Struthio camelus: one gene and its partners. The protein of the gene in region 3 purifies or fractionates together with the protein of the main gene of each other region. This does not show direct contact. Links are inferred from orthologs where the notes say so. Each region holds a gene or a part of one and is shown on either strand. Other genes may lie near its edges.

Region 1 (6,980 bases), on a different chromosome or scaffold from region 3:
GCTTACACCATACACAAGTTTGTGGATGAGCAAGCATGTGAAGAGGAGCACCCAGCCTGCGCACAAAACACGTGCAAACAGCAGATGGGGGCAGGTGAGCTTGGACGGGCTCCATTTGCACAGCAGGATTCCTCTTAGCAGGGGCCAACAGGACCACTTCAAGACACCTCAACCCCTCCTGTTAGAGAGGAACTTGCTCCTTGCAATATAGTAGTTCCCCTCCCCAGAGGTAGCACAACACTTTGCACTTGCAACAGTTAAGGCTCCGGCAGTAGCACAGAACTAGCACTGCCAGGCTCCAGGTAGGGACTCCCTTACAGCAGCACCCCTTCTCCCTCTGCCATAAAGAGAAAGGAGCCAAAGGACTACAGAACACGGGCCACAGACTGCCAACCTCCTAGGCTAGACGTCAGGGCTCAAGCCCTGATCGGACTCCCTCAGATCCGGCGAGTCTGTTACACAGTCCCCCTAGAAAAACCAGGAGACGTAGTCAATAGCCCAGACTCCCCCTCGTGTTCAGGTGCAGTGGGCAAACTGCACCCAGTACAAAGTTTATTCCCAGGTAGGAGGGCTTGTAGGATCCTTTCAGGGGTGCAGGGATAATGCTATCTGCGGTACATGGTGAAGGCCATGAAACTGAACAGCAAGGTGAGGCCAGCCAAGAAGGTGGTTGCAGTGGCAGTGAAGACATGTCGATACTGCAGCTGGAAGTACCAGAGCACAGCCAGCATGAGCACAAAGAGCGGCAGCATGAGGCTGCCCACGTTGAGGGCTGTGTGCACGGGGTCAGCAGAAGTGTGGGGGCCGGTGGGCGCAGGGGCCGGGCTGTGCTGGGAGATGTGGCAGTGCAGGACGCTGTTGTGGGTGAGGTGCAGGGCAGCCAGGCTCTGAGCGTCATCTCGCAGCAGTTGGCCCTGGTAGATCAGCCGCACCTGCTGCTCCTGGCCTGGGAAATAGGCCCTGGGTTGGAGAAGACAAGGAGAGAAACGTCATGCTTCCACCAATACGCAGTCCCTCCCATCTACCTTCTGCCTTAGTATTTCCCCCCCAACCCCAGACCAGGCTGCAAACATGCTCGCCATCTGCCCTGAGTGCGGGAAGCCTGGCTGCACCCCCCTCCTCCAGGCTTTGCCCTCAGCCGTGTCAGACATGCTGCTAGGATCAAAGGTGCCCGCTAGAACATGCTGTCCGAGTATCCCGAGACGGGCAGGATCGAGCCCAAACGGCAGCAGCTCCGAGCTCACAGCGACTTCAAGGAAGGGCAGGAAAGAGAAACCAGGGCTGGGGGCGGGCAAACCGGACAGCCGCCAGCAGGGAACGAGCGGGGCGGCTGCCGCCTGCCCGGCTCCTCACCTCTTCAGGGCCCCCACGGTGTCGCCGGGGCGGACCCGGGCCAGGCGCTCCGTGTCGTTGAGGAACTTCAGCCGCAGCACCATGGTGGGGTCGGCGGGGTCGCCCGCCTCGCCGGGGGCGTCCTGCGCGGGCCCGGGGCCGGCCCGGGGCCGCAGCCCCGCCGCCAGCCCGCCGGGCCCATCGGGGGCCGCCGCCGCCGCCGCTGCCGCCGCCTTGGGCTGGCCGCCGGGCGGGCCGGCGCTGGGGCCCTGCTCGGGCAGCGGCGGGGCGGCGCGGGGCGGCGCGGGGCCGCGCGGCGGCTCGGCGGGCTCGGGGGCGCGGGTGGAGGCCCAGGCCAGCCCCAGCACCACGGCGGCCAGCAGCAGCGCGAAGAGCACGGTCACCTCGTCGCCCACGCCCTCGATCAGCGCCATGGCGGCGGCGGCGGCTACCGACCTGCGGGCACACAGCAGCGCCGTGAGGCGGCGGCGGAAGGCGCCGAGGGGCGCCGCCGCACTCCCGCTGCTCCCGGGCGCGCCGCCCTGCGGCAGCCCGCGCCGCCGCCGCCCCCCGGCCCCGGCCCCGGCCCCGGCCCCGGCCCCGGCCCCTCACCTGCCGCCATCCCGGCGCGCTCCACTTCCGCCCCGCGCGCGGACTCCCGGGCCGGGGGAACCGGCCCCCGCCGCAAGGCACGACGGGATGGCTCCGCCCCGCCCCGCGGCATGCCGGGAGCGGTAGTCCTGGCCGCGCCCCGCGCACGGGCTCTCGGGGCGGGTAGTTCCCGCCCGCTCGCAAGGCGGGCCGGGAGGCGCGGCGACCTCCGCGGCGCATGCGCGAGGGGGAGGGTTTGCGCGGGGCGCGCGGGGCATGCCGGGAGGTGTAGTTCTGTGAGCGGGGCGGCGGGGGGCCGCGCCGAGGCCCCGTGCCCCGGGGGGCCGAGCCGGCTCTGGGGTCCCGGCATCGGCCGGGCCGGGCCGGGCCGAGGGGTCCAGCACGGGGGGTGCCCGGGCCTCGGCCCAGACCGGCAGGCAGGGACACGGGGCTGCAGAGTGCGGCGCTCTGTCCTTCCCCGGGGCGCTCTGTCCTTCCCCCCGGGGTGCTCTGTCCTTCCCCCCCCGGGCGCTCTGTCCTTCCCCCCCCGGGCGCTCTGTCCTTCCCCCCGGGGTGCTCTGTCCTTCCCCGGGGCGCTCTGTCCTTCCCCCCCCGGGCGCTCTGTCCTTCCCCCCCCGGGCGCTCTGTCCTTCCCCCCCCGGGCGCTCTGTCCTTCCCCCGGGCGCTCTGTCCTTCCCCCCCGGGTGCTCTGTCCTTCCCCCCCGGGTGCTCTGTCCTTCCCCCGGGCGCTCTGTCCTTCCCCCCCGGGTGCTCTGTCCTTCCCCCCCCGGGCGCTCTGTCCTTCCCCCCCCGGGCGCTCTGTCCTTCCCCCGGGCGCTCTGTCCTTCCCCCCCGGGTGCTCTGTCCTTCCCCCCCGGGTGCTCTGTCCTTCCCCCCCCGGGCGCTCTGTCCTTCCCCCGGGCGCTCTGTCCTTCCCCCCCGGGCGCTCTGTCCTTCCCCCGGGGCGCTCTGTCCTTCCCCCCCGGGGTGCTCTGTCCTTCCCCCCCGGGGTGCTCTGTCCTTCCCCCCCCCGGGCGCTCTGTCCTTCCCCCCCGGGGCGCTCTGTCCTTCCCCCCCCCAGGGCGCTCTGTCCTTCCCCCCCCGGGGCGCTCTGTCCTTCCCCCCCCGGGGCGCTCTGTCCTTCCCCCAGGGCGCTCTGTCCTTCCCCCCGGGGTGCTCTGTCCTTCCCCCCCCAGGGCGCTCTGTCCTTCCCCCCGGGGTGCTCTGTCCTTCCCCCCCCAGGGCGCTCTGTCCTTCCCCCCGGGGTGCTCTGTCCTTCCCCCCCCAGGGCGCTCTGTCCTTCCCCCAGGGTGCTCTGTCCTTCCCCCCCGGGGTGCTCTGTCCTTCCCCTGGGCGCTCTGTCCTTCCCCCCCCGGGGCGCTCTGTCCTCCTTCCCCCGGGGCGCTCTGTCCTTCCCCCCCCGGGCGCTCTGTCCTTCCCCCCCCGGGGCGCTCTGTCCTCCTTCCCCCGGGGCGCTCTGTCCTTCCTCGCTCTCCCTGGCCAGCCCTCAGGGCTTGCTGTGCTTCAAGCCCCCTGGGACGCCCTGACCGCAGTGGGTTCCTTGGCCCACCGCCGGGAGAGGCGTACTGCGGCTGCCTGCTGTTGTCACGAGTGAAAGCTCTGCTAGGAAGCCCCATGTGGACCTGGCAGGTCCACAGCCAGGAAAAGGCACTGCTACCGTGATGGTTCTAGCTATGCTCCTCGTCTCTCTTCCTATGTATGTGCCTTCTTCTGGTCTCCCAGGCAGCTAGGTGCTTTCACTGCAGAAATCAGAAGCTGGGCGAGACACGTTTTTCCCACAGTGGCCTGCGGAAGGCGAGCATGGTGAGAAGAAACACGGCAGAAGGTCATCATGCACCATCGCAGGACTCTTCTCTTTTCAGCCATCATCTATTGAAAGTTCTCAGCGTTACTGAGCCCAACCAAAGGGGATATCATGCTCCAGGGCACCTCAAAGGAGGTGCTACAAGCAACAGCCGCGGCAGCTGGGTCTGGGCTCAAAGGGAAGAACGTTTAAGTTCACGTGTCAGCATAAACACTGGCGACGCAGTGGCGCTACCAAGGCGGTGGCGCTTTGGGAGGCCTGGAAGACCAGGATTGCTCCTAGGGACAATGATGTTCTTGGAAACTCTCTAGATTAAATTTCTCATGCAACTGAAATATCATGAAGTCATCAGCTCTGCTTAAAAGCTAAACTATTTTTGTTTATCATTGAACTGATATTCTGTTCTTTAATTTGTATATAGAAAACAAGATTGGCAATTAGCCAAGGACAGCAAATTCCACAGGCAGAGTCCGTCTTTGGCAAGAGTCACGCTTTAGCGAAGAAATGGTGTCTGGCAGAGAGTAAATGGATTATACGGTGCAGAGATACAAGAGGGAGGTGAACGGAAGAGGCTTCAGACTAAAACTGACAAAGTTACAAGGATCCTTGGAGGGACTCTGTGGTTCCCCTTACATACTATTATCGTAGCTGCGAGATTCATTAAGATGGAAAGCTTGAGAGACAGATTAAGAGTTAGTTGGAGTAGTTTTTGTCTCCAGCTTAGTTTTTATAAACAAAGATATTTCAAAAAGTTTGTCTTAAAATCTCTCTGGACTGAGCTAGTATCTGGTATTAAACCTGAAGAAGAACTTTCAGACTATGCTAGGAACTCAAATTTTCTGTCCTTGAAAAACATTCAAATAATTTTAAATGCAGAACAAAGGATTTGATCAAAATTTCCAGACTTTGAAGTTGAAAGGACTTGTCCCCTCAAAATCAGATAATGGAGGAGACTTGTGGAAGAAAAAAATCCATAGCATGCATAAAAGAACAAAGCCGAAAGGAGATCATTGGGTGACAATATCCGCTTTCTCCAGTGCATCACCTCCAAGGATCTATCACTTTTTCCACAGTGGCATAAGTACATTTTTATAATAAAATCAGAAGGAAACTGTTAAAGTAGATCAAGCTTTGGAAACACTCCTGTGCGGCAGCGTGCAAACTCCAGCATCCGTTCTGCTGCGGTAGATCTGAGCGTGGCAGCGACTGCAGGGCACAAGGGGCTCAGAGGAATTCATTAGTTTCTCACTTCTAGGCTCCCGTTTCCCAACTGCTTCCAGATCAGAAGGACCAGTTGGTTTATGGGATTGGGTACGGGCTGGGCCTCCTGACCCTGGCCCTGCTTGAAATCCAGATTCAGGTGGGGAACCAGGGGTGGCAGAACTGGGCACCGAGGTTCCCACCTCCTCCCCTGCCTCCTTCAGGCCTGATCTGCACTCTTCAGCACTGCTTTCAGCTTATCACCAAAGCGCAGCAATGCAGATTGATGAGGTGTAGGATAGGAGGTCTTAAAGCTCCAGGAAATGTAATTGTAGTGTTAGCATTAGCAGTTGTATAATGTTTTAATCCCGTTTTGTGTGCAGAAGTAGAGACAGGAGGTGTTGCAAACATAACATTTATTTTCAGGGTACAGCTGTCTACAAAACTCAAGAGCAGGGCTCGTCCTGCTGTGATCACAAGGAGTGAAGTCTTTAATGACCTGCAAATAGCACTGGGAGAGCTAAAAAGCGGGGCTGCCAAAGCAGAGTTCTAGCGCGCACAGCAGAATTAAAAATAGGCTGCTGCGGCGTTGTTGCTTATCCTCAGTTCCTGGAAGCCTACGGGGAGAACGGCGCTCTCCGGCAGAGGAAGGATGCAGCCTCCTGACATAACTTGCCTTGGAGCCTGCACCGCACAATGGGAAGTTGTAGGTTCAGTCGTTTTACGCTGGAGCATCCCTGGTCTGGTCTGTATCTGCACCTTTTCCAGCTCCAGCTTCATGACCGGTGCTGGTCCCTCTCCTCCTCGCTCCCTGGGCGGTGGCAGGGGGCAGATGCCCCTGGCGCCACGATCGCGGCGGGACGGAGGACTCTCCTTAGCATCCTCAGTGCCTCCAGCGATGCTCGGGGTGTGTGGGAGCAGAGACGTGAGCGAGCTGAACGCCTCTGCAGATGAAACTGCTCTTCAAAACCTCCTACCAACAGAGAGAGAGGTGTCAGCCCCGGTCAAAGACGTGGCAGCGTCTTGTGGGGAAGGGAGCTGGGCCAGAAACGAGAGCGCGGGGGGAGGACGGGCGGCTCGGCGGAGCGAGGCTGGGGCCGGGCGGCTGCGGAGGGGACCGCGGTGCTGCCGAGCTGCAGGGGGGAGAGCAGCGTGCTGGCGGGGCACGGCGAGGGGCAGAGGGAGCGCGGGCTGGTATCGCCCACCCACCAATTACAAAGCTGTGCCCCGATTTTTCCGGAGGGGCTGCTGAGGGCGACCGCCACGCGGGTGACCAGCACGCGGAGGAAGCAGCGCTGGACACTTGCCTGTTCAGGGCCGCGGCGGTCATCGAGGGGCCGGGCCATGCCCTCTCTGCGGGCAGCAGCCAGCAACTGGTGTCACCGGTTCAGGGGACAGAGAGAGGCTAGCACAGACACAGGAGGACATGCACTTGCACTAGGGGTAAGTGGGAGCTGAATAAATGAGTAAAGAAAAGACAAAGCTTTGAGGGCAGCAGAGCATTAGTGGAGGAAGACGAGAAAAAACACGGTGAAGAATCAAAATGTATTATTTGCTGCTACTAAATGATTTAAATAAGCTATAATTAACAGAGAGAAGATGACCACAGGTTGTCCTCTGGGACACAAAAGCCTTGGACGGTCGGGCTTGCGGAAGCGTTTCTGACAAAACCTCCTGGGGAAATGCAGAGCCCTCAAACCGAACGTGGCAGTTTGGACAAGCCCGCGGAGGGAGCAGGTCTCCGAGGAGCCCTTCTCGCTTTCCCACTGGCGTGGGGCAAGCTGCGGAGACGCAGAGCTGCCTGGGCTGGAGCAGGGCCGCGGCGCTCCCGGGCTCCCAGCGACCGGGGCCCCCATGTCCTCCTGGGGAAGGGTGTACCTGGAGGGGTGGAGGAGGAATGAATCCCTTCTGCAAATTGTCCTGTCCTGCAGGACAAACGGTCCTGCAGCTCGCTGTGTGAAGGTGGACTACCCACACAAGCAGTTTCCAGTGTCAAGGCTTAAATGTAGGCATGCAACAAAGGACAAAGCCT
Region 2 (7,169 bases), on a different chromosome or scaffold from region 3:
GGTCAGCAGACTTTTGCCAAGCACTGCTGTCTTCTAACACTCATTCACAGTGCCAGGCGCTGCAGCAACGGCACATCACAAAGCTAATCAAATCTATAGGCCAGTGAGCGCGTGTTCATACTTTCTGCGACAGCAAAGTGCAGAGGACTGGTTTCTGCATCTGGACTAGCAAACCCTGTGACTAATTCAACAAGTCACATTAGCTAAATGCACAAATCACACAGCAGAATTTCTATTTGCTTCTCTAGAACTCCCTGCTACTTCTGACAGTTTTTTTTCTTTGTTTGTTTGTTACAACATACTGAAGCCCTCAGCACTGGAAGGTAATGAGAAGTAAATACTATAGCTGGTTATCAATCCTGTTTCAAAACAGAGCAGATACAACTAATATGTAAAAGCCCGTCGGTTACAGGGTAGCAACTTCTGTATCAACAGACCACGCAGACAGCTATCAGAAACATCATTCAAGGAACCATCAACCCAGCACCGAGCCTGTAGAGCTAGTGTCACAGGTCAGAGACGCAGCTCACCGAACAGCTCAATGTAGACCTCCTGCAGCGTGTGGACACTGCAGAACTGGTTCAGCTCATGGTGAATCTTGTTGAAGATAAGAGCTTTGTCATAGTCAGCTGTGTAGTTCTTCACTATGTCATATACTACAAAAGAAGAAGTGAAACCAGTGTTAACAGCTGGTGCAGAGGATGTCTCAGGTGGGGCTAAATGCTTGCAGTAGAAAGCTTATGGCTGAGTCACACCACCAACAGCAAGAGATGCAGTGCCAATCAGCGAAACAAGAAAGCACCCACCAGAGAAGAGAAGTCTGCACTGCAGACGAGCGCTTTGTCCACGTATTCTGACAGGGGAGTTTTACTTATTGCTAACAGTACACCACACTCTAGCCAGTGTTGTCACATGCTTTGTGAGAAGAATAACACCTAAGTCATATCAGCCCTCTCTGCACTATGTGCAAATGTCTGCCAGGAAGATGGCACACATGGACCGTGCCTGACTTGCAGAATAGAGAGACCGCAGGGTCTGCGCACAGCAGGGGGAGAGGATCCTGAAGTTGCAGTATGACAGAGGCTCCAAAGCAGGACGCTGATGAGCCCAGCAATAAGACCATACTCATAAACAACAGGATGTTAACAAGGAGAGTCTGAGGAAAGGACTGCATCGGTCATTCCTTTTGTGCCTCAGATGCCAGCCTTCTGCTCACGGACTCCCCGTCTCCCCTACTGCTTGCACATGTCATTATTCAAAACAGAAGCTCTTCACTGAAGCACAACGCCCAGTCCAGCTGTAATAACACGGCTAATAAAAGTAATAATGACATGCAGGTATTAGTGAAGCAATTAGTAACACAGAACAAGCGTGTGCAAGAACTAATAAACACACAAATGTCTGGAAAAGCTAGTTAAAAGGTTTAAGTCCAGGAAGTAGGGGCTTTACAAGGTATACAGAGGAATACCAGCAGTACTCCCTAGCTCCAAATCAGTCACAGCACAAGCATGCGCAAACTCCTAACCTTGTCTTGCACTAGCAGAGCACAAAGAACCCTGGGAAAGGAAAGTCACACAGATGTTGGGTGCAAGGAGTTGCAGGGTCAAAGGGAGGAACTCACCTGCACTTTGGATCAGGAAATTCACCACCTCAATTCTGTCAAAATAAATCATCACTCCCCCACTGCAAAAACAAGATTAAAAAAAAAGAAGAAGAAAAATAAAGTTTACTAGTGGCCAAACGTTCTGCTTGTGCAGCCAGATGGCCGCTGAGCAGAAGACACTCCCCTCTAGTGGGCTGAGTGCAACATTTACAGCCCTCAGTGCAGCACGCTGCGACATTACAGCAAAGCCTCACATCCCGCTCAGCGTCTCAGACTCAGGGTTTTAGCTACAAGTGTCCTTTAGGAACTGGATCACAGTATGTGGGCCCAGGTTTGAAAAGACCAATTACTAGTGGCTACCATAGGGAAATGCAAACTCCTGAGTCCTTTTCCTAGTTGCAGCTCTCCTGAGACATTGAGCTGTTCACTTCCTTCCTGCGCTTCAGTTTTCAGACTGGCAAAACAGAGAATGCAAGTTTCAGAGTATTAGAGTTGTGCACGTAGACCGCTACAGGAAAGATTAGGCTCGGAAAGTGTTCTGAAACCAGCTGAAACGCAATCTGTTCCCAGCAGAAACTTAACTAGATCAAGAACGAGATCACGGAGACTCCTGTCAGCGTTGTCTACGTTAACTCGGGGGAAAGCGGCACCGAGACATTCGGGACGCCCGCACATCGGCTTGGGCACGGGCTTAGAGAAGGGGTTTCAGCGCTTTCAGCTAGGACCAGGGAGGGAAGACAAGTCTGTCAGGACAGAGTTATGCGTTTTAAAGCGCGATGGAGCGCGTAACCGAGGGGAAGGCCCCGCAGGGACCAAGAGCCGAGGGGGAGAGGAGAGCGGAGCTCACCTGGTGCCGCAGGGAACGTTTTTCACCTCGTCTGTCTGCAGCGTGGTCTGAGGAGAGAAAGGTTTCAGCAGCAAAGCTGAGGAGCCCCCAGAGCCCCGCCGGGGAGGCCGCGAGGGCCGCCGCTCCCGCCGGCCCGCGGGGGGGAACCGGGGCCGGGCCGGGCCCCCCCCGCTCTCCCTCCCCGCCCAGGCCCCGGCCGCGCAGCAGCACCTGCACCGACTTGTAGGAGGTGATGAAGGGCAGCATGAGGTGGAAGCCGGGGCCGCTGGTGGAGGTCAGCAGCGCCCCGCCGCTGCGGAGGGAAACGGAGAGCGTCAGGGGCGGCGCGGCCCGCCGAGCGGGGGGGAAGAACGGGGACGGGACGGGACGGGACGGGACGGGGGGCCCCGCGGGGCCGCTCACCGGTAGTAGACGCCGATGTGGCCCTCCTCGATCTTGTGGATGGCCGAGAGGAAGGCGGCCGCCAGGAAGCTGAGCGCCAGCGCCGCGATGGCGCCCAGCTGGGCCATGGCCCGGCCCCGGCCCCGCGCGTCGCCCCGGCAACGCGCCCCGCTCGCCGCCCCGCGCGCCGCGCCGCTTCCGCCCGCCGCCGCCGTGACGCCATCGCCGCGCGCCCGCCCGCTTCCGCCCGCCTGCCCCGCCTCCCTCCCCCTCCCCCGCCGCCGCCGCCAGGGGGCGCCAGAGCTGCGGGGCTGCCGCCGCGGAGACCCGGGTTCGAGACCGGCCGCCGCCGCCCGGCGCCCCGGGGCTTCTCGGGGACGCGGCCGGCGCTGCTCCCCAGCTGCCCGCGGTGCCTGGGCGGCTCCTCCCGCCCCGGTGGTGCTGGCTGGGCAGGCCCGGATGCCTTGGTCCCTCGTGCGGGCCTAGGTTCCCGTTCCCGGCCACCTTGCCTGGTTTCCAGCACCCTGAGGCCCAGTTCTGCCCTGCACTGACCCCTCGCTCGCACACAGCCCCCGGCCCCGCAGGGCACCCTGGCCCTGGGTGCAAGGATAGGCTGCCATGCCCTGTCCCCAGGCCCCCCAAGGTGTGTCCCAAAGCCCAGTTCTGCCCTGCACTGACCCCTCGCTCGCACGCAGGCCAGTGGGTGCTGTGCCCCACGGGGTGCCCTGGCCCTAGGCACGGGGACAGGCCACCATGCCCCATGCCCAGTGTCCCAGGATGCACCCCAAAGCCCAATTCTCCCTCGCGCTGACCCCCTGCTCGCACACCGGCACCGTGCCCCATGGGGTGCCCCGGCCCCAGGCACAGGGACAGGCCACCTCAGCCCATCGTGGCCTCTCCTCCTGGCTCAACAGGCGGACGCTGCCGGCGGTTTAAAAAAAGCTGTTCCCTATTTGGATGCGTGTTTGGCCCAGACAGAGGAGCAATAATCGGAAAAGTGACAGACCATGCAAAAATATATTAAATCTTCTGCATCTATAATTGTTGAAGGGGACTTAAAAAACATAAGAGAGACATATAAAATGTCAATATAGAATAATTTGATCTTTACACTTGATAGATCTCCTAGGGTTATATATAACAAGCCTGTCAGAAGGATTCAGCACCATTTAGAAATAAAGAATGAAATACCTGCAATATTTGTCAATCCAAATTTTACAGCTCTTAAATAAGCGCAAAAGGGCGCCAGAGATGAAATACACCCTGTATTAGATTTTTTTAAATGCTTGCCCAGATTTAAGGCCTTGATAAAATGTATTAAATCTTTAAAGGTTTTAATGAATCTAGTATGTGTTTCATAAATCAAGAACCTCTGCTCAGCCCCCTCTCAGTTTAATAAGGGTAAACTAGGAAATTGCTCTGAGCTGAAGCAAACTACATTCATATAATATTGGAAAGTAATAGATTTTTAAATGTGGGGTGTTCTGGCTTGCAGGCCGGGTTTTACTTCATAACATCAGAGCTGTGTCATTACCCTGAGTGGGAAACCATCTGTGGCCACGTGTTTAACAGTATCAAGATGTGAGCTAGCACAAAGGTAAATATTATTTGTAATAATCCTGAAAAAAATAGCCAAAAATCATTACTTTCAGACCTCGGGCCAGGAACATTAAGTGGTGTCTGTGCTGCGACTCTCTCTGGTTTTTAACAGCAAGGACTTTTTTACATGAACAAACGGTTTATTGCATCCACTGCTCTCCAGCACTGGAAAACTTTTTCATCCCCCTCCCCGTCCCGCTGCCGTGGAGCCCGTATAAAAATGTTCCGCGGGTTTTACTGCGAAGTTTAATTGAGACAAGTTGGAAGGTCTTTGAAGCGCCCGTGTTAACGCCGCCGTCTCCAGCCTGTCTGCAGCAGGAGGGCTGCAAAAGTCACCCCCGTCCCCCCTCCAACAGCTGGGTGATTTTTTTATTGCATCGCCTCTCTGCTGCCCCTGCGCGGCTGTCGGCAAGGACGGGCAGGCAGGCGGACGGATGGATGGACGGACAGATGGATGGACGGACAGATGGAAGGACGGATGGGCAGGTGGACAGATGGACGGATGGTGGATGGATGGATGGATGAATGGATGGATGGATGGACGGATGGACGGAGAGATGAATGGGTGGATGGATGGACGGATGGATGGACAGACAGATGAATGGACGGATGAATGGATGGATAGCCAGATGGATGGATGGATGGACAGATGGACAGATAGATGGACAGATGGACGGATGGATGGACAGACGGACAGATGGATGGACAGCTGGATGGATGGACAGATGGATGGATGGACGAACAGACGGATGGATGGATTGATGAACAGACAGATGGATGGGCAGCTGGATGGACAGACGGATGGATGGATGGACGGCCGAATGGATGGACAGCTGAACGGATGGATGGACAGACGGACAGATGGATGGATGGACGAACAGACGGATGGATGGATTGATGAACAGACAGATGGATGGGCAGCTGGATGGACAGACGGATGGATGGATGGACGGCCAAATGGATGGACAGCTGGACGGATGGATGGACAGCCGGATGGATGGACGGCTGGCTGGATGGACAGACAGGCAGCTGGCAGGGCAGCAGCGGGCTGCAGTGGGCGGACCGGGGGCGCAGGCCGTGCCCGCTGGCCCGGGAACGGGGCTGTTCCTGTCGCTCTGTGCACAAAAGCTGGCGGCGGCGGCAAGCTCTGCAGGAGGCAAATCCGAGACCCCACGTAAAGCGTGGTGTAGAATTCTGTCCAACCTCGTTAACTGTCACCGGCAACAATGCCGAGCTGGCAATAAAGGCAATTTCGGACCTGCTGGCCATTAATCACCGCCTGACAGTTGTGAACAGCGGTGGAAAATAAAAATAAAAATAAAAAAAAGAAGCCTCCCCGTGGAGACATGCAGCAAGCGGCGGTGCGGCCGGGCACGCGGAGTGGGCACTGCCAGAAGGCTGCCGGGAGGCTCCCAGCAGCACCCGCTTCCCACGGCGCTGCCGGTCTTGGGGCATCGGCACCGCGGGAAAAGGCGCCCCGATGGCAGCCAGGGCGGGGGCGAAGCGTTCGGCAGCGCCCGCCGGCCTCCCTCCTGCCTGGCCGCACGCTCGGGATCGGGCACCGCGGCGAGAAGCTGCCCGCGCGCACGGGCCGGTCGCAGGAGGCTGGAGGGTCCCGCAGCCTGGCAGCTGGCACTGGCTGCAAACACCCGGGTGAAATGCAGCGCTCTGCAGCGAGCCGAACGTGTGCAGGGCTGGAAAGGCATAAAAAGCCGGCTCGCCTCGGCTCAGCTCGGCTCGGCTCAGCTCGGCTCGGCTCAGCTCGGCTCGGCTCGGCTCAGCTCGGCTCGGCTCAGCTCGGCTCAGCTCGGCTCGGCTCAGCTCGGCATGGCCGGGCGGCCCCTTGGCTGGGTCCCTGCGCGCTGGGGTGTGAAAGGGAATGAAAGTGGGGAGAGGGGGTGGGGGCGGAGGGAAAAATACTTAACAAATTAAGTCTATCAAACGTTATTTGCAGATTACGGTGCAGAATTGTGTTAAAGTATGTCCGGGCTCGTTACATGTCAGCGCTAACAATACAGCACTTGGCAATCCAGGCAGGTCTCTGGCGTTAGCCATTAATCATCCGCTGACAGTCCTGCGCTGGAAACCAGGGAAGGGCCCGCCTGCGCTCCGTGCCCCCGCTCACCCGCGCCGCAATCACGGCCGGGAGAGTTTTCCTTGACTCGCTGCCTGCCGGCGCCCCGCTCGCCGGGCGATAAGGAGGCTTATTTCATGTCAGAGGTATTTCGAGGGGCGCGGAGGGCGCGCGGAGAGCAAGGCTGGCGTCGCGGCCCTGCCGGCGCTGCGGGACGGCCGCCGGCCCGGGCGAGCTCCCGCGGGAGCGTCCCCGCCGGAAGAGCCTCGCGGCGCCGGGAAAAGGGCGACGACGCACTGCGCTTTCCCGCACCCGGCCGCACGCCGTCCCGGCCCCGCGGGGCTCAGCTTGGCTCCCCCCGGGCGGGACGGGACGGGACGGGGACGCGGAGCATCCCGGCGGAGTCGCCGCGCGGCGTCGGGCACCGGGGACACGCCGCGGCCTGGCACCGCCGGAGGGCACCTTGCCCGGACGGAGGCTTTCCTCCCCTTGGTGCTCCCGAGGCCAGCCCCGTGGCCGGATGCCAGGATGCCAGGTCATCTTCCCAGGAAAGAAAGGAGCAATGTTTCCAGCCCCTCATGCTGGTTTTTTAAAGGAAAATGACTAACGGCACTTAGAAACTGCAATTTCTCCAGGGGAAGAAAGTGGATTTTCCCAAAGCATGC
Region 3 (7,311 bases):
GTCACACCGACCCAACCACCGGATACCCTCAGAGCTTTCAGCATGCAAACCCTTCAGTGCAACATGGCTCTCCCTCTCAAAGATTTTTAATAAGAAACCCAAACTTCTCTTCCATTCCTCTCCTGCCAGGCCACCCTGTCATCATAGGTAGTCAACTGAAAAGAATCCCAGGCTTTGAAAGCTGAGAATATTCTACACGAGACTGGAATATTATTCAGGTATATTGCAGGCTTTGAACCCCCCAAGACAATATAGACTGTAAGATGGTCCAATCCTGTTCCTTCTAGCGCTATCACTATATACTAACCTAAGTCTGCGATCCCCAACATGATACAAGACACTGGAAGAGTACCTGTTTAAAGCTGCAGAGGAGTATTTTTCATTAAATTGGCAAATCTCTGTGCTGATTACCAGGAAATAGCTGTTTTTCTATCTTAGCAACATTTTACTATCTCAAGAGTTTTAAGCAAGTCCAAGCTGAGGTCTCTCTTACACATAACCAAGCCCACCAATTAGAGAGAAAGTCCTTGCCTATCACACCAATGCAATTAAGTCCAAGAGCACCATCCGGTACCAGCAACGGGATATTGTTATTAAAATAAAACCACTTGTTGCAACAAGTATGTCTGCTGACCTAAAATTCAGACAAATCATCAGACTACTAGTTACTAGTTTGTCAAACTTCAAAAAGACTTTCAGGCTGGAGCATACCAATTTCATAACTAGTCAGAAGATGCTTTTCAATCAAGAGAATAGCTATGAAGTCACAGTAAAATGAAGCGGGCTAATAAAGTCTATTCCTTATAGTAAAGACAAGAAATCTAGCATGATGTAAACCAGTACTGTCCAAAGTTCACAGCTCAGAATTTGGAGGAGCTCTAGCGCAGCAAACAGTACAGCTACATATGATACATTCATTTTGCAACTGCATTAAGGTGCTTATTTTTAAGTAAACTATCTGTCCTTGCTACACATTCTTCTTGACCTACTTGCTATGAATAAACAGATTGGTAAAAGAGTCAGATCTGTGGAGGAGCTGCATAGCAAGGAAAATTAGAAAAAGGGCAGGACTACCATTAATACAGAGCAAATCCCACCTTTTCTCTAATCTAACAACATCTTATGTGAACATCTCTCTCTTGTCTCTGTTGGCCACGATGAGGCCAACAGAACCATAAGCAGTTTCAGGGATTCACCTGACCAGCAGTTTGCAGGACCACGGCGTCCAAGTTAAGCTCCTACTGGATACTCTATGTACAGAGAACTGAGACCACGCCGCCTGCTAAAGTCTGCCTTAAATCAGTACGACTTGCAACACCAAGGTTGGAAAAAGACTGTTCTCTGCAGATGTCCTGTGAATACTTTTATCTCCTCAGGTGTGCTTTGATCCAAACACGCAACAGAAAGAACTGATACTAGCTTGGCGAGCACCGCTGATTTCACCTGACAGCCTAGTGGTTAGCGTCATCCCATTTCCAGTCTCCAGTCTGCCTGAATCCACTTATACAATTGGGGGGGGTGGGGGGGTGGTAAACCTGAACGTTTCCCAGACAAAAAGAGAGCATTACAAAAGTACACTGTCATATCATGCTTGTTATGTTATCATGAAAAGGCTCTCACTTTGTATTTGGTAGAGAAAACATATGTGTGGTATGAGACAAGGTGTCCTCAATGTATGTTTGTTTTAAATTGGCTGAATTTTAGAAACTCATAACGGAAGCACACCATTGTCACTTAGCAACCTCCTTTCCCCTCTTCCCCTTATTCTTAATTTCCTGTAATTGGCACTAGTGAGAAGTGTCAGCATGAGACCTGGAAGCAGCTTGAGAGCAGTTGGCCAGGTGGACAGCAACAGGCCATTGTGACCAATGCACTTCAATTCTAATTTGGAAGATCTAACTGGTAGTCCCAAGAAGAATTCAGCTTCAATATCCCACGTAAACGTTAGCCCTCTCTGTGAGGGCCCAAACCTGCACCCACATCAACAAAATCGCAGGCAGCTTTTTACCTAGTTAGGCAGAGGTGTGGCATTGTCCACAGATAGCTGAGGTTGTTGACCACTAAAAAAAAGTGTGCGCGCGTGGTGGGGGGGGGTTGTACATTAATTACTTCTAGAAAGGACAAGACTTTAGCAATACAACCATCAAATATTTTGAATAAGCCATACACCCGAAAAGAGTGATTACTTGGAAATGGAATCAGAAGCCTTTCATACCCCTATCACTGGTTTTAATCCATGCTAGACCAACTATCCATCAAGCCAGATTAGCGATTTGCACCCTCTTTTTATATATAGACCCCATACAAGAGTTCTGGTGTTCTGTGGACTGCCAAAGATCACTGTAATTATTCTTTTCTTCCTCACCAAAGAGGAGCGCATGCCAACTCAGTGGACAACTTTGTCTGGATGGTTCAAAACCAGGCTGTGCTCCTAGCAGAGGAGCAGGATCGAGCTGGGGCAGGGGGGCGGAGCTGTAAGTTACACGGAGGGAATTTATGCCTTAACGCCTGACTACAGGCTTAAAAGCGATCAATAAGGCACACTGCTGCCCCTCACCTTGAGGAGAACGAAGAACTCGAAGATACGGCGGAAGGACGGTGGGAACAGGCGGGCGTAGGTCACTGCCATCTTGAAGAAGAGGGCATGGAAGAGGCGATCGCGCACATTGATCAAGGGGTTCTGGTTGAGGTTGGGATTGCGGACACCCCGGTTGTTCGCGCCGGCAGCCGCGCCGCCCCCGGTGTTGTTGGCATTGGCCTGGTTCTCGGACATCCTGACCGCGGGGGCAGGGAGCGAGCTGGCACTCTTCCCGAGCAGAGCTCCCGAGCGCCGGTCGCAGGGGCCGCTCCTCCTTCGCCGCCCCGGAGGGGCCCTGCTCGCCCGGGGGGAGGCCCAAGTGTTCTCCCGGGCAGGCGGCGCCCCCGCTGCCCGCACGGGTCGGTGCCCAGGGCCCGGCCCGGCCTCCTGCGCGCCGAGGCGGGGTCCCGGCGGGAGCGGGTCAAGCCTGGCGGCGCCCGGGCCGGGGCCAGGCCACGGCGGCGCGGCGGGGCCCGGGAACGGCGGGGCCCGAGCAGGCCCGGCGGGGACACGGCTCCTGGGCCGGCCCCGCGGCCATGGGGGGCCCGTTACCAGCGGCGGCCCGGCACGGAGAGCCGCGGGCGCCTCTCGCTCGCTCGCGCACTCGCCTCGGTCCTTCTCGACGCCCCTCACCGCCCCGCCGCCATCTTCCTCCGCCGGCCCCTAGCACCGACGGCGACAACGCGACGACGCAAGAGCAGCGCCCCACAAGGGAACTCTGGGACGGTGGAGGACCGGCCCGCCTCCTCAGCGGCATATGCAAAGCGGAGGACTCCCGCCATGCATCGCGCAGCGCTGGCCTCACTCTTCTGCGCTTCCGCGTCGTAGAAGGCCAAATTTTTGCGATTCCGAAGGATGCCAAGCACTAAGAAAAAGCTAACTTGTTTAAAATGCAACTCTTTAAGCGAGAACATGTGAAGAAAGAAAAAAAATCTCCCTGACCAAAAAAGTATAAAACACTGGGGGTTTAAATAGCTCAGCGGCAGAGTGAGGATTCGTGCTCGCTTCGGCAGCACATATACTAAAATTGGAACGATACAGAGAAGATTAGCATGGCCCCTGCGCAAGGATGACACGCAAATTCGTGAAGCGTTCCATATTTTTGGACCCGTCGCTGCTTCCTCCCTCCCCGGGATGGCTCTTTGGGTCTGGGTTTAGTGCCTTGTGCAGGAAGCTGCAACCTGTCTCTGTCCCAGCTGGGGACAGGGGCAGCCGCGTCTGTCACCCACAGGGATGGGTGACGGGTGGGTTCTGGAGCCTGGGGCAAGCACCCCTGTGTGCTGGCACCATGGGTGCACGTGGGCACCGCAGCCGTGGGTGCACCACAGCCCCATGCAGCTCCCCAGGGTGCCCATGCTGCCGCGGGTGCTCGCCCCACCACCCTGGGCAAAGGGCAGCTGGAGGTAGAGCCTTGGGCTGGGGGTGCCCTGCCCGGGGTGGTGGGGGGCCCGCAGCCGCGCACAGCGTGTGGCATGAGCCAGCTGCATTGCGGCTTGTCCTGGGCACGGGAAACCTCAGGCTGGGCCGCAAAGGTGGCTCCTGAGCGGGCTGGGCACGGTGCAGGGAGCCACGGCTCCAGGGAGGTGTCGTAGGGGCAGGAGAGACCTCGGCGGGGGCGGGGGATTTGCACCTCGCTCGGGCTGTGCTCAGACCCCGGCCCAGTCCTCCTCGCCCAGGTGCCACCTTAACGGGCACTAGCTGCCCCGCTGGTGCAGGCAGAGCCCTGGGTGCAGGTGGCGAACCCCCCCCCCCGGTCTAGGAGCAGCTGGTTCCTCGTTCCTGCGTCGTTGCTTGGTTGCGCCGTGCAAAGCAGGGCCGGATCCTGCCGGGCACTGCAGGACAGGCAAGAGGACGCGGGGCTGCCCGCGTGCTCCTCGGCTCAGCCCTGGCGCCCCTGAGCCCCCCCCGGGCGGCCCCGGCCAGAGCATCCCCGCAGCACGCGGCAGGATGCCCCAGGGGCTCGGCGCCCCGGAGCAGCCGGAGAGGGCAGCTGCAGCCGCCCCGTTTCGTGTGGACGGACCTGGGTTGCCTCCTCCCACCCTGGCAGCCCCGCGGGGGAGGTACGTGGTCCCCCGCGCGTCGCAGACGGGTGCCGCTGGCCGAGGGAGCAGACGGGGGCCCCAAAGCCTCAGTGGTGCCCCGGGTCCCCCTGCTCGGGGCTGGCCCCCTGACGGAGCCGGCTGGCGTGGCCACGGGCACGGAGGGGCTCAACCCGGCCCCGTGCCGGGGGCACCCGCGGAGGGAGACGGAGAGGAAGAGGCAGGAGCCCCGCGCGGAGGGTGGGAGAAGGGCCCTGGGGGGCAGGACCCCCTGCTGCCGCCCGGCCCTGCTGCCTGCCCAGCCCCGGCCCGGGGAGCATCCCGCGGCGAGGACGATCCTGGTTGACCTTCGGCCGCTCCTGGCGACCACGCGGCTCCCGGGGAGCTGCGGGGCCCGGAGCAGCGCCAGCACCGGCAGCGCCCCGACGCGGGGCAAGGCACCGGGCCCCCCCGCTGCCCCCACTGCAGCCCAGCCTGGGGCCCGCGGCCTCCCCGCTGCAACGCCCCGGCCCGGCAGCCGCTGGGCGCTGGAGCGTCGCAGCAGGACCGGCCCCACGTGGGACCCGGCTTCGTCCTGAGCCCTCGGAGCGACCGCCGGGCCCCAGCAGCGCTGCACAGGAAAACCAGCCCGATCCCGGAGCAGCGCTGTGTATCTTTATTTAACTTACTATTTTACACCAGCTCCTCCTCTAGCAGAAAGCAGACGGGTCCCAGGGCCAGCCCCAGCACCCGGCCGCGCTGAGCCCACCGGCACCCGGACCTCCCCGTGGGGCTGCTGCCCCGTGCCCGGGGGAGCGGGCAGGATGTGGCCAGGCCCCCCCCGCGCAGCTCTGGGGTGCCGGGGCTTGCCGGCAGCACCGGCCCCCAGCATCGCGCGTCAGACCACGCTCTCCTGCCAGCTCTCGTCCTCCAGGAATGGCGGCAGCCTCGTGGCGGGGCCGGGTGCCGGGGCCGGGTCCTGCCCCGGGGCTGGGTCCCTGCTGGGGTCCTCGTCGCTCTGCTCCCTGGCGAAGTGCACAAACACCTGCGGGGACGGGGAGGGTGACGGCGGTGACGGGGCAGTGCCTGCGGTCCCCATCCCTGCCCATGGCTCCACGCCCGGCGCACCTGGTCCAGGGTGGTCTGGGACACGGAGTAGTCCTGGATGCGGCACGGGCCGCGCTGGGCCGCCAGGACGCCGAAGACGCTGGCCAGGGAGCAGGCGCGGGAGGGCAGCTGGTACTGCAGCAACCCGCCGTGCCGCTCCTTGAGCACGATGCCGGGGAAGGAGCGCTGCAGCAGGCTCTCCACCGGCTCCAGCGCCGGCCCGGGGCCGCCCACCCGCACCACCACCGTGTAGCCGTCCCCAAACCTGCCGTGGGAAGAGGGAGGCAGCGCTGGAGAGGCCTTTCCGGCCCCGCCGCTGCCCTGGCAGGGCTGCCTCCCCCTGGCCGCCGGGCCGTGCCCGAGTCCCCGTCCTGGGTTACCGGTTCTTGAGGTGCTGGACGCTCCCCAGGCAGCGAAACCGGCCGTTCACCATGATGGCCATCCGGGTGCACAGCGCCTCGCACTCCTCCATGCTGCGGGCAGGGCAGGCGTGAGGCCCCCACGCGGCTGGGCGGGCAGGGGCATCCTCCAGGCTGCGGGACCCGGGCGCTCGGGCCAGCTCACCTGTGCGACGTGAGCACCACGGACCTGCCCTCCTTGATGACGCTGAGGATGCAGTCCCAGAGGAACCGCCGGGCGCGCGGGTCCATCCCGGTCGTGGGCTCATCCTGCAACGGCAGCAGGGTGACCCGGGGCAGGAGCAGGGCCAGGAGCCCCTCGGAGCCGCCGGCCCCCCGGCCCCGCACTGACCAGGAAGACGACGGGCGGGCAGCCGATGAGAGCGATGGCCGTGGAGAGTTTGCGCTTGTTGCCCCCGCTGTACTTGCCAGCGGGCCGGTCTGCGTGCGGCCCCAGCCCCAGCTTGGCGATGCCCCACTGAGCCACCTGCGAGAGCAGCGGTGAGGGGCTGAGCACTGGGGAGCTGAGCACAGGGTGCCTGGGGCTCCCGGCTGCCCGCCTCACCCTGGACGTCTCCTCCTCCGGGACCCCGCGCAGGCGGCTGTAAAACTCCAGGTGCTCGCGGCCCGTGAGCAGGTCCGTGACGGCGTCGAACTGGGGGCAGTAGCCCATGTTCTGGTGCACGGACTGCAGGTCAGTGAGCACGCTGCAGAGCGGGAAGGGGTGAGCGTGGCGGGGGCGAGCACGCAGCGGCGCGGCGCTGGCCGAGCCCCTCCGCGACCCCCTGGCCCGCTCACCTGTGCCCTTTCAGCCAGGCCTCCCCCAGCGTCACCTCCGTGTCCCCCGTCAGCATCTTGAAGGTGGACGTCTTCCCGGCACCGTTCACCCCCAGCAGCCCGAAGCACTGCGCGGGACAGATGGGGGTAATGGCAAAAGCCATCCGTGCCTGCACCCAGGGGTGCCTGAGCCCCCCACATCCCCATCCCGTCCCTCACCTCCCCGGGGGGGATGGCCACGCAGAGCCGGTCCACCGCCGGCACCTTCCTCCGCCAGTACACCTGGAGCAGGGAGAGCGCGTTGCGGCACGGACCCGCCTGGCTGGGCGACCCCCGCGCTCCGGGGACCCCCTCGCCCGCCGTGCCGGCACGTCCCCGCGGGCTGCGCCGGGCCATGCCGCTGCGGCTGGGGCGGCGCGGGCGGACCGAGGAT
Region 4 (7,461 bases), on a different chromosome or scaffold from region 3:
GTGTCCCAGGGACATACCACAACCCCTGACCCTCCTAGCTGCACTTCCTTTGCCTTCTGACCCACTACAAACTCAGGTAAGTAAGGAAAGCTGAACAGTGACCAACTCCCACCACCACGAGGCACAGCTAATGACTATCAGGGCACCACCAGATGAGGTGAATCCAGCCCAGCTCACAGCACATCACATCTCAATGCCATCACCTGCCCCCTCCTCCAAGTTACCTGGCTGCAGCCTTGAACCTCTCCAAGAACTGAAGCCGCAAACTCTCATGGCCTGGAAGGTCGATCAAGGTCACATTGGCACTCTGGACACAGAAGAAAGAAGGTATTACCAACACATGATCTAGTAGTACATATGCTCAAGGCCTGGAAAAAAACAGTCTGACAGCAGATCCCAGTTAGCTTGGCGCTGGGACAGATGTGAGCTGATGAACCTCCATACGGGACAGAAGCATACGACTCTCTCCCAAATGCAGTCTTTTCCCCAGCCCAAACAATTCCAACAGGCAAAAGAAATGCTGAGGAGTGACATTCATGGCCAAGACTTGGTAAGCAGGCAGCCAACACCAGCAAACCATCCAGCAGAGCAGAGAGAACAGAGCATGACTTAGAGAGAAGAGAACGCCCAATCCTTTTCTCCTTCACAATATCTGCCCTTCAACTAACCTACAGGCATAGCATGAAGGACAAAGCTTCATCAGAGTAATCTTTCTCAATGCACCAGCAGATTTACGCTGTATCTTGGCAGCAAGAAGATCTCTGCACACCAAAATCACAATTTCCTGTCCTGTAAGTTCCTAATAGATAATGCTGATCTCACAACCGCCGAATCAAGATATCTGCATTCACACACACAGAAGATCTATCCAACTACAATTCTACCTAAATACACATAAATCTGGGGGAATAACAAGAAGAAATGCCCTTGGAAGGCACTTTTTGAATTGAAAGCAGTGAATGCCTCTTTCCACACGCTCTCAGACAAAGCAGTGACATTAAAGAGAATCTCTCACATACACTCCTAGTCAAAATGAGGCCAAGCAGGACCATGTCATCTTTCTCAATACCACTCCGGTTGTTCTCAAGACGGGGAGAGAGCGCTACACAAGACCCTATCCACTTACCGCTTTGAGATTTTAGTGGAAACCTTGACTGCATTAAAAAAAAAAAAAAATCACAAAAGCAGCAGTCTTACAGCATTCTTCCACCCCTCCCCCTCCAAATATTTCCCATCTGTCTGCTCAACCTTAAAGAAACACTGATTAAAAAAAAAAAAAAAGGCCATGCACTTGTTTCTGTTAAGTTTTTAACCTCTTATTATTACTACTGGCACTGAAGATTGCCAGAAGACAACGTTCTCTGTCTTACAGTTTACCTTATACACCAGCACTTAACATGCTGCCAGCTTGCCAGTTTCCCTACTATGTGTTCATCCAGCAACAAGAAAATAAACATTTCTAAATCTAAAGAGAGATCATCATAAACTGCAAATAACTAGGTCTGTGACATAGTCCTGAAACTGAAAGTAGTCAAATGTTTTTTGAGATTATCTCAAGTTCAACTGGAGAGTCTTTTTAAGCCTACTTAAATTTTTAAATGCCGATTTTCTTGGGAGTGACAGAAATCACTGCCAAGCAAATAAACTGAGCAGGAAGGAGATGTGTGAGGGGAACGTTCCATCACGTTCAGGCCCCTGTCCCCACAATACTGTATATCTTATTCTGCTTGTAAAAGCAACTCTTTTTCTCTTAATTAAAAAAAGCACCCACACACTTACCCATCTTTCCAAAACTAACACATCTGTGGCTTTCAGCTGAACAAGTTTCGTACTCCGATAAGCAAAGTGAAAAAAAAAAAAAAGCCTGCACAGACAAGGAATCTCTAATACCTCCCCATCTTTCCTGCCTTTCCAGTATGCATTGACTATTACAGAAAAATCCTATCCTATGCTTGGACCAAACTAGGGACTGATTTCAAGCTGGGAAGACTGAAATGCAGGAGAACCAAGCCAAGCTTAACAAAGGAGGTCAACTTCACCCTAGTCACAGAGGAGCAAAGGCGTGCACAAAATGTACAATTTTGTGTACGTTTATGAAGCATCAAACAAGTGCCTACTCACCTTGTCGTTACTAACTCTGTAAACAGCAGAGCTATCCGTTATAGAGGTCTGGGTATCTCGATATTTGCCTGTCAACAGCTGTGAAGGGAAATCAAACATTTTCAAGAAAGGGAGACTGAAGGAACACGGACTTCACGTTTCACCCACTCAAAAGTTTAAGCGATCTGTAAAGAGTAACAGACTTCAAATATCTGCTTTAAATTTTAGCATGTATAACACCGTTTCTTTTTTTTTTCCTGAAGAATTTTAAAATACACCCAAATAAGGAAAGAAAATCTGCACTTATACTCGAATCTTCACGCTTTTAAAAATAAGGAAGACAGCGGGCTTGCAAATCCTCCCGAACACCTTCTCTTCATTACCAAGGGGGGCCAGACAGCAGAGAGGAAGGCGCGCAAGCCGGGCACCTCTCCCTCAGCTTGGCTCCTTCCGCAGCCACAGCGAGACGCCGGTCGTGGCTCACCCTGGCGAAAATCAGCGTCTTGCCCGCATCGCACAGGCCCAGCAGCAGCACTGCCTTCCGGCCGCTCTTCCTGCCCTGGATCAACCTCCAGATCACTACGAGAAAGAGAGAAAATCACCTAAATCCGCCGCCAGCGGCACCGGAGCGCGGCCGGGGGCGCAGCCTGGGGCCAGGCCCCGGGCCGCACACGGCCCCCCGCCCACCCCGGGGCCGGCCCGCGGGGCGCCTCGCGCGGGCCAGGGGCCCGACTCACGCAGCGTGAGGGCCACAACGAGCAGGGCCAGGAGGACGGAGAGGACGGCGGGGTCAGGGGCCCGCAGCTCCCGCCGCAGCGAGTCCAGGTACGGCTCCAGCCCGCCCGCCGCCATGGCCGCCCGCACGCGTGGCCGCGCCGCCTCCTGGGAAGCGCCGCCCTCCCGCCGCCGCCGCCGCCGGCGCGCGGCCTGTCGGGGGCTGCTGGGGGCCCGCGCGGAGCCTCATGGGAATTGTAGTTTCCCCGGTCTGGGCGGGCCTTGTCGTGGCGGGCGGAGGAGCGAGGGCCCCGTGGCTACTGCTGCAGACAGGGCTGCCGGGGCAGTGCCCTCAGCCCTCTCGCGGCGCGCGTCCAGGGTCTGCCCAGCTCTGCCGAGGAGGGGAGGTGGGCTAGGGCCGCTGGCCTGGGCCTGGGTCCGGGCCGGGGCTCGAGCCGGGGTCAGGGCCTGGGCCTGGGCCAGTAGCTGGGCCAGGGCTGGGCTGTGGGCCTGGGCCTGAAGCAGGTGTTGACCTTGGCCAGGACGTGGCATGTGGGCGCCCACGCGGGGCACTGAGGGGAGTCGGTGTGGCAGGGCTCCCGACATCAGCGGTCTTGAGGGGGAAGCCAAGAGCTGGTGCCTCACGCTTCAGGCCTGGGTGCTTGTCGCAGGGGGCCCGGCGCGCACGCAGAGGGGATGCGCAGGGCCCAGCGAAGCACCAGGGCAGAGGTGCCCAACTGGTCATTTGGCAGGAGGCGGATGGACAAGGCTGCTGTGAGCAGCTCGCGAGAAGCATCCAAAAGATAGAATTGATTAGTAATGACAAACTGCAATTTCCCCCAGTATCTGTTGGGAAGTCAGTAAGGCTGGCCGTTAGCTGATCTCTTCTCATCCTACCCTCTGCATGCAGCAGCAATGGCATCCTGGCTCTCTGCTGCCTGAGGAATATGCATTTGGAAACTTTTAGAACAAGAGGAGCAACTACTGTTACAAGGGTGGGTGTAGGACAGGGATTCATTAAAACGGTCCCCAAACCCAGATGCAGACTCCATGGGTCATTGTAGTCTAGGAGGTGAAGGAGCACGTTGGCCATTACTGCAGGAGCGTGTATTAAATGCACAACGAGACATTGAAAAGAAAGGAGAGAAACTGCACAACTCCTGACTGAGCTCTTTAACTACCTGAACATAAAACACTGAAAAATTGAAGAAGTGGAGCACATGAAAAAAGTAGTGCAGATAGCATAATTGTGGGATACAGATTTAGAAAGCGTAAGGTCTAAAGTGAGTTTTGATTAGCAAGGAACATAAAGGACAAAAAGCTCTATAAATACACAAAAACATTCAGAGCATACTGTGTAATCTTTGCTAGTCCTCAAAAACAGGTTAAACAAGCCATCTGTCCAATGTACTTGATCCTGCATAAATGTAAAGGACCGAATTTCATTGCTTCCCTTCACACTCTACGTTTCTGTCTTCTAAGCCAATCTTCAGTTAGGCTAGAGGACTTTTCACAACACATACCATATGACTTTCAGAGATCATAACTGCAAGTCCATCAAAATATTCCCTGAAAATCAAGAGCTGTTAGCATTTTGCTGCAATCTGATCAGCTCTGCCATGCCTGCTTTGACCTCAAGGGTGGGACCTGATGGCTTGTTTCCGTCTCTGTTCCTCTGAAGCACAGAACCTCAGCAGGCCCTTTTTAGTCTTGCCTTTTTATTTTCATCATGGATCAGGCTATCCACCTACTTGTTTGTTTTCCAGTCAGCAGCACGTAAGAGTGAACTGCCAAAACACGTTTCTAAATAAGTCCTAGACTTGTTCAAAAAAAAGAAGTCTAAGCTTAGTACTGTGTTTTGAGAGCGCTGCCTGATGGAAATAGTTCTGCTGTCTGCGTTATTCAGACCCAGCCAGTTGAGATACAAGATGGAGGTATTTATGTTCACACCTTCCCTCTTATGACTGCTATCTTTTTGTTCTTTTCTTTTGTTTTTCCTTCTCCACCCTTCAGTTCCGCTACTCTTCCTGTATGCCAGCCACACCAGTCAACTGTCATCTGCCTAGAATACTGGGATAACTCGAGGTAAAAGCATTGCTAATTAGGGTCTAAAGTATATTTAATCCATTTTACTTTGAAAAAATGTTGAAAAAAATCTCTCCAATAGCTTTAAATGAGAACAGCCAAAGTGGTATCTGGCACAGCAAGAGGTACTGGGAAAGGAATGGGCTTAATTAATATTTTGAAAAATCTCAGAAAACCCATTTAGACTTTGAGTTTTTATTTCTTGCTGTGATGGCAGCAGAGAGCTGTAAAGTTTCGAACAGCCACTTTCAGAATGATGTGGAAGGGTAAAGGAAGCAGCAAAGGCAGAAGGTCCTCTGTGAGTAGTAGGTGTTCAATGCCGAGGACACAAGGAAGAGTCTTGGCTCAAAGTTTCCTCCCCTTTTGACGAGGGTCCCTCACAAACCACTACTAGTCAGCAAGGAAGGTGCACATCTGGAGGAGATCTGAAAAGGGAAAGAACAGGGAGAAGTTCAGACCGTGCCTGCAGCTCATTTGAACAGGAAACACACAGCCGCTCCTGTTCCCCTAGAACACACGCAACCATGGGAAAAACTTCAGAGCATGGAAAACATATCCAGCGTACCACAGAAAAACTCCCCCAATCCCAACTGATTCGACTGACTGGAGCGGAGCAAGGTCTGGAATTGCTACCTGTTCTTGTTGTATGTTAAGCAAGCAGAAGCCCTGTAGGGGACAGTGCAGGAATACTTGGGTGGTGAGCTTGCAGATGTATGTTTAATTTCCAGATCTTTCCCTGAAACAGTTCCCATGAGTTGGTGCCTAGCAGACTAGATGTACTCATGGGACTGTAACACCAGGGCACTGGCTCAAGTAATTAAAAAATCACCAAGTATTCAGTGAGCACGGAGAGGCTTATGTGGAAAGCCAGTAAATGAATGGGGGTGAAATGGGGGGGAGCTCTCAGTTTCTAGCTTTAAGGCGTATTAACCGCAGGTCAGTGTGAACATGCACTGACAGGGCAGGGTGGGTTCTTTTACTGTTTCACAAACTGCATATTTTCAAAAGATAGGTAAAAAATCTTTGATTCCTATTGATGCTAGAGCAACAAATTTTGAGTCAATTTTCAGTTCATTTAAATAGCTGGGAAAGTAGGCATCTTCATGAGTTATCCTCATTTTGCTTCAAAAAAATTAAATGGACAGCAACAGAAATCACTCTCCACATCTGTGAGGCTAAGAACTGCATTTCATTGACTTCTTCCTGAAGATGTTACAATTACCTGATGGATTGCATGTATTGAGACTAGCAACTGAAGAATAGTATTGATCTCCCAGGAATTCCTTGTATGTGATTCCTTCACGGAGTTTAACCAGACACTTGGTCAAGTCTTTAAACAGAAGGTCCTTGGTCTCAGACTTAAACATCATGAACTTGTCTTTATCAGTTCCTTTTTCTCCAAATAATTTCTGAAATAAAGGCATGAAAAATAAGTGCATGCAAAAAGTAAAAAGAAAGCAAGAATTAGCCTGATACAAGTCTAGTTCTTAGTCTTAAGTTCTTCACCGTGCAGAACTCATTATCCTGGAAAGCCCTTAGTCAAGCTCCAAAAATTTAGGACTTAATCTTCTGCCCATGTGGTTAGATGGCTGAGCTCTCAGTGGTAATTGCAGTTGTGGCCTGACTGCCAAAACAACCAGTTTTTCTGTTTTAACGCAGTGCATTGCAAAGCCCATTTGCAGTTGCTGCCAGTCAAGAGTTGAAAGCAAAAGGAGCTGACTTCCAAAGTGCCTCTTAACAGCCCCTGATGGTGGAGCTCATCTCAGCATTTTCAGTGTAAAGCCAGAGAGCTGGTTTAATCTGGTTACCTTTACACCAGTAGATGAAATACTTTGTATGTGCAAGGAGACTGCTATCTTCCCAGGGCCACGCAACTCCACGCCTGCCTCATGCCTAAACCCAGGGGGATTAGAGACCAAGCATCCCAGAGGAGTTTCCTAAACACATGTATAGGAGCAGACTGTCTCTTTTTAAAGACATGGCTACAGAAGGAGGTGGCAGCTGTGATCATCTCAAAATTTTAGTGTGGCAATAGCACCCAGTGGGATCTAGGTTTTACCTATGGGTGTTTGCTAAGGTGGCAAGGGAGACAATACAGATCTGAAAGGATGGAAGGAGAAGGAAGCTAAGGGATATGGAGATGCAGAGCTGTGACCCTGTATCAATCAATCAAAATCTTTCACATTTCACTGACTCTGAAACTCAGAGCATCATTGCTGTAAAAATGCGAACATGCAGTGCAAAAAACAAACGCAGAACATTTCTTCTACGGTCAGTACTTACCTCTTGTCCCTCCAGCAGCTCACGGATTTTACTTGCTTTCTCAGGACGTGAGATCACAGCATGAGTAGGAACTTTTGCCAAGTGGCAGGACCTGTAATCCCTGATATTTGCCCGTTTCCCATCAGTGCACAGCAACTCATATTGGTCCATTGTCAAATTTTTAGCCCACTCGTCTGTATTTGCACCTTCAAAGAGAATTGGTTTGAAGATTCAGAGATCTTGCATAGCAGAAGCATGTCAGCCTCACAACACCTGATTTTTCACTGCATGTATAAGCAC

Evidence for each region.
Region 1: the proteins of TMEM259 (region 3) and TMUB1 purify together in Homo sapiens (affinity purification with mass spectrometry; 3 studies listed by BioGRID, with this or other methods). This does not show direct contact. The link is inferred for Struthio camelus from reciprocal best matches to the Homo sapiens genes TMEM259 and TMUB1.
Region 2: the proteins of TMEM259 (region 3) and ERLIN2 purify together in Homo sapiens (affinity purification with mass spectrometry; 3 studies listed by BioGRID and IntAct, with this or other methods). This does not show direct contact. The link is inferred for Struthio camelus from reciprocal best matches to the Homo sapiens genes TMEM259 and ERLIN2.
Region 4: the proteins of TMEM259 (region 3) and SRPRB purify together in Homo sapiens (affinity purification with mass spectrometry; 3 studies listed by BioGRID and IntAct, counting the BioPlex papers as one, with this or other methods). This does not show direct contact. The link is inferred for Struthio camelus from reciprocal best matches to the Homo sapiens genes TMEM259 and SRPRB.

What each region holds. Positions count from the first base shown.
Region 1 is NC_090943.1:449,605-456,584, reverse strand, and holds TMUB1 (transmembrane and ubiquitin-like domain-containing protein 1), read right to left. Parts: upstream 2,013-6,980; 5' UTR 1,945-2,012; intron 1,789-1,944; 5' UTR 1,767-1,788; coding exon 1,354-1,766; intron 961-1,353; coding exon 606-960; 3' UTR 511-605; downstream 1-510. UniProt on the Homo sapiens protein: Involved in sterol-regulated ubiquitination and degradation of HMG-CoA reductase HMGCR. Involved in positive regulation of AMPA-selective glutamate receptor GRIA2 recycling to the cell surface.
Region 2 is NC_090968.1:6,909,592-6,916,760, reverse strand, and holds the start of ERLIN2 (erlin-2), read right to left. Parts: upstream 3,017-7,169; 5' UTR 2,960-3,016; coding exon 2,853-2,959; intron 2,743-2,852; coding exon 2,661-2,742; intron 2,498-2,660; coding exon 2,451-2,497; intron 1,684-2,450; coding exon 1,622-1,683; intron 657-1,621; coding exon 531-656; intron 1-530. UniProt on the Homo sapiens protein: Component of the ERLIN1/ERLIN2 complex which mediates the endoplasmic reticulum-associated degradation (ERAD) of inositol 1,4,5-trisphosphate receptors (IP3Rs) such as ITPR1.
Region 3 is NC_090967.1:7,317,484-7,324,794, reverse strand, and holds the start of TMEM259 (membralin), read right to left. Parts: upstream 3,012-7,311; 5' UTR 2,774-3,011; coding exon 2,558-2,773; intron 1-2,557. Other genes in the region: phospholipid-transporting ATPase ABCA7, read right to left, coding at 5,495-5,641, 5,725-5,968, 6,084-6,176, 6,268-6,371, 6,454-6,588, 6,667-6,808, 6,900-7,006, 7,098-7,160. UniProt on the Homo sapiens protein: May have a role in the ERAD pathway required for clearance of misfolded proteins in the endoplasmic reticulum (ER). Promotes survival of motor neurons, probably by protecting against ER stress.
Region 4 is NC_090950.1:2,691,198-2,698,658, reverse strand, and holds the start of SRPRB (signal recognition particle receptor subunit beta), read right to left. Parts: upstream 3,009-7,461; 5' UTR 2,953-3,008; coding exon 2,838-2,952; intron 2,680-2,837; coding exon 2,585-2,679; intron 2,200-2,584; coding exon 2,122-2,199; intron 308-2,121; coding exon 225-307; intron 1-224. Other genes in the region: TF (serotransferrin), read right to left, coding at 5,290-5,324, 6,122-6,308, 7,183-7,367. UniProt on the Homo sapiens protein: Component of the signal recognition particle (SRP) complex receptor (SR). Ensures, in conjunction with the SRP complex, the correct targeting of the nascent secretory proteins to the endoplasmic reticulum membrane system.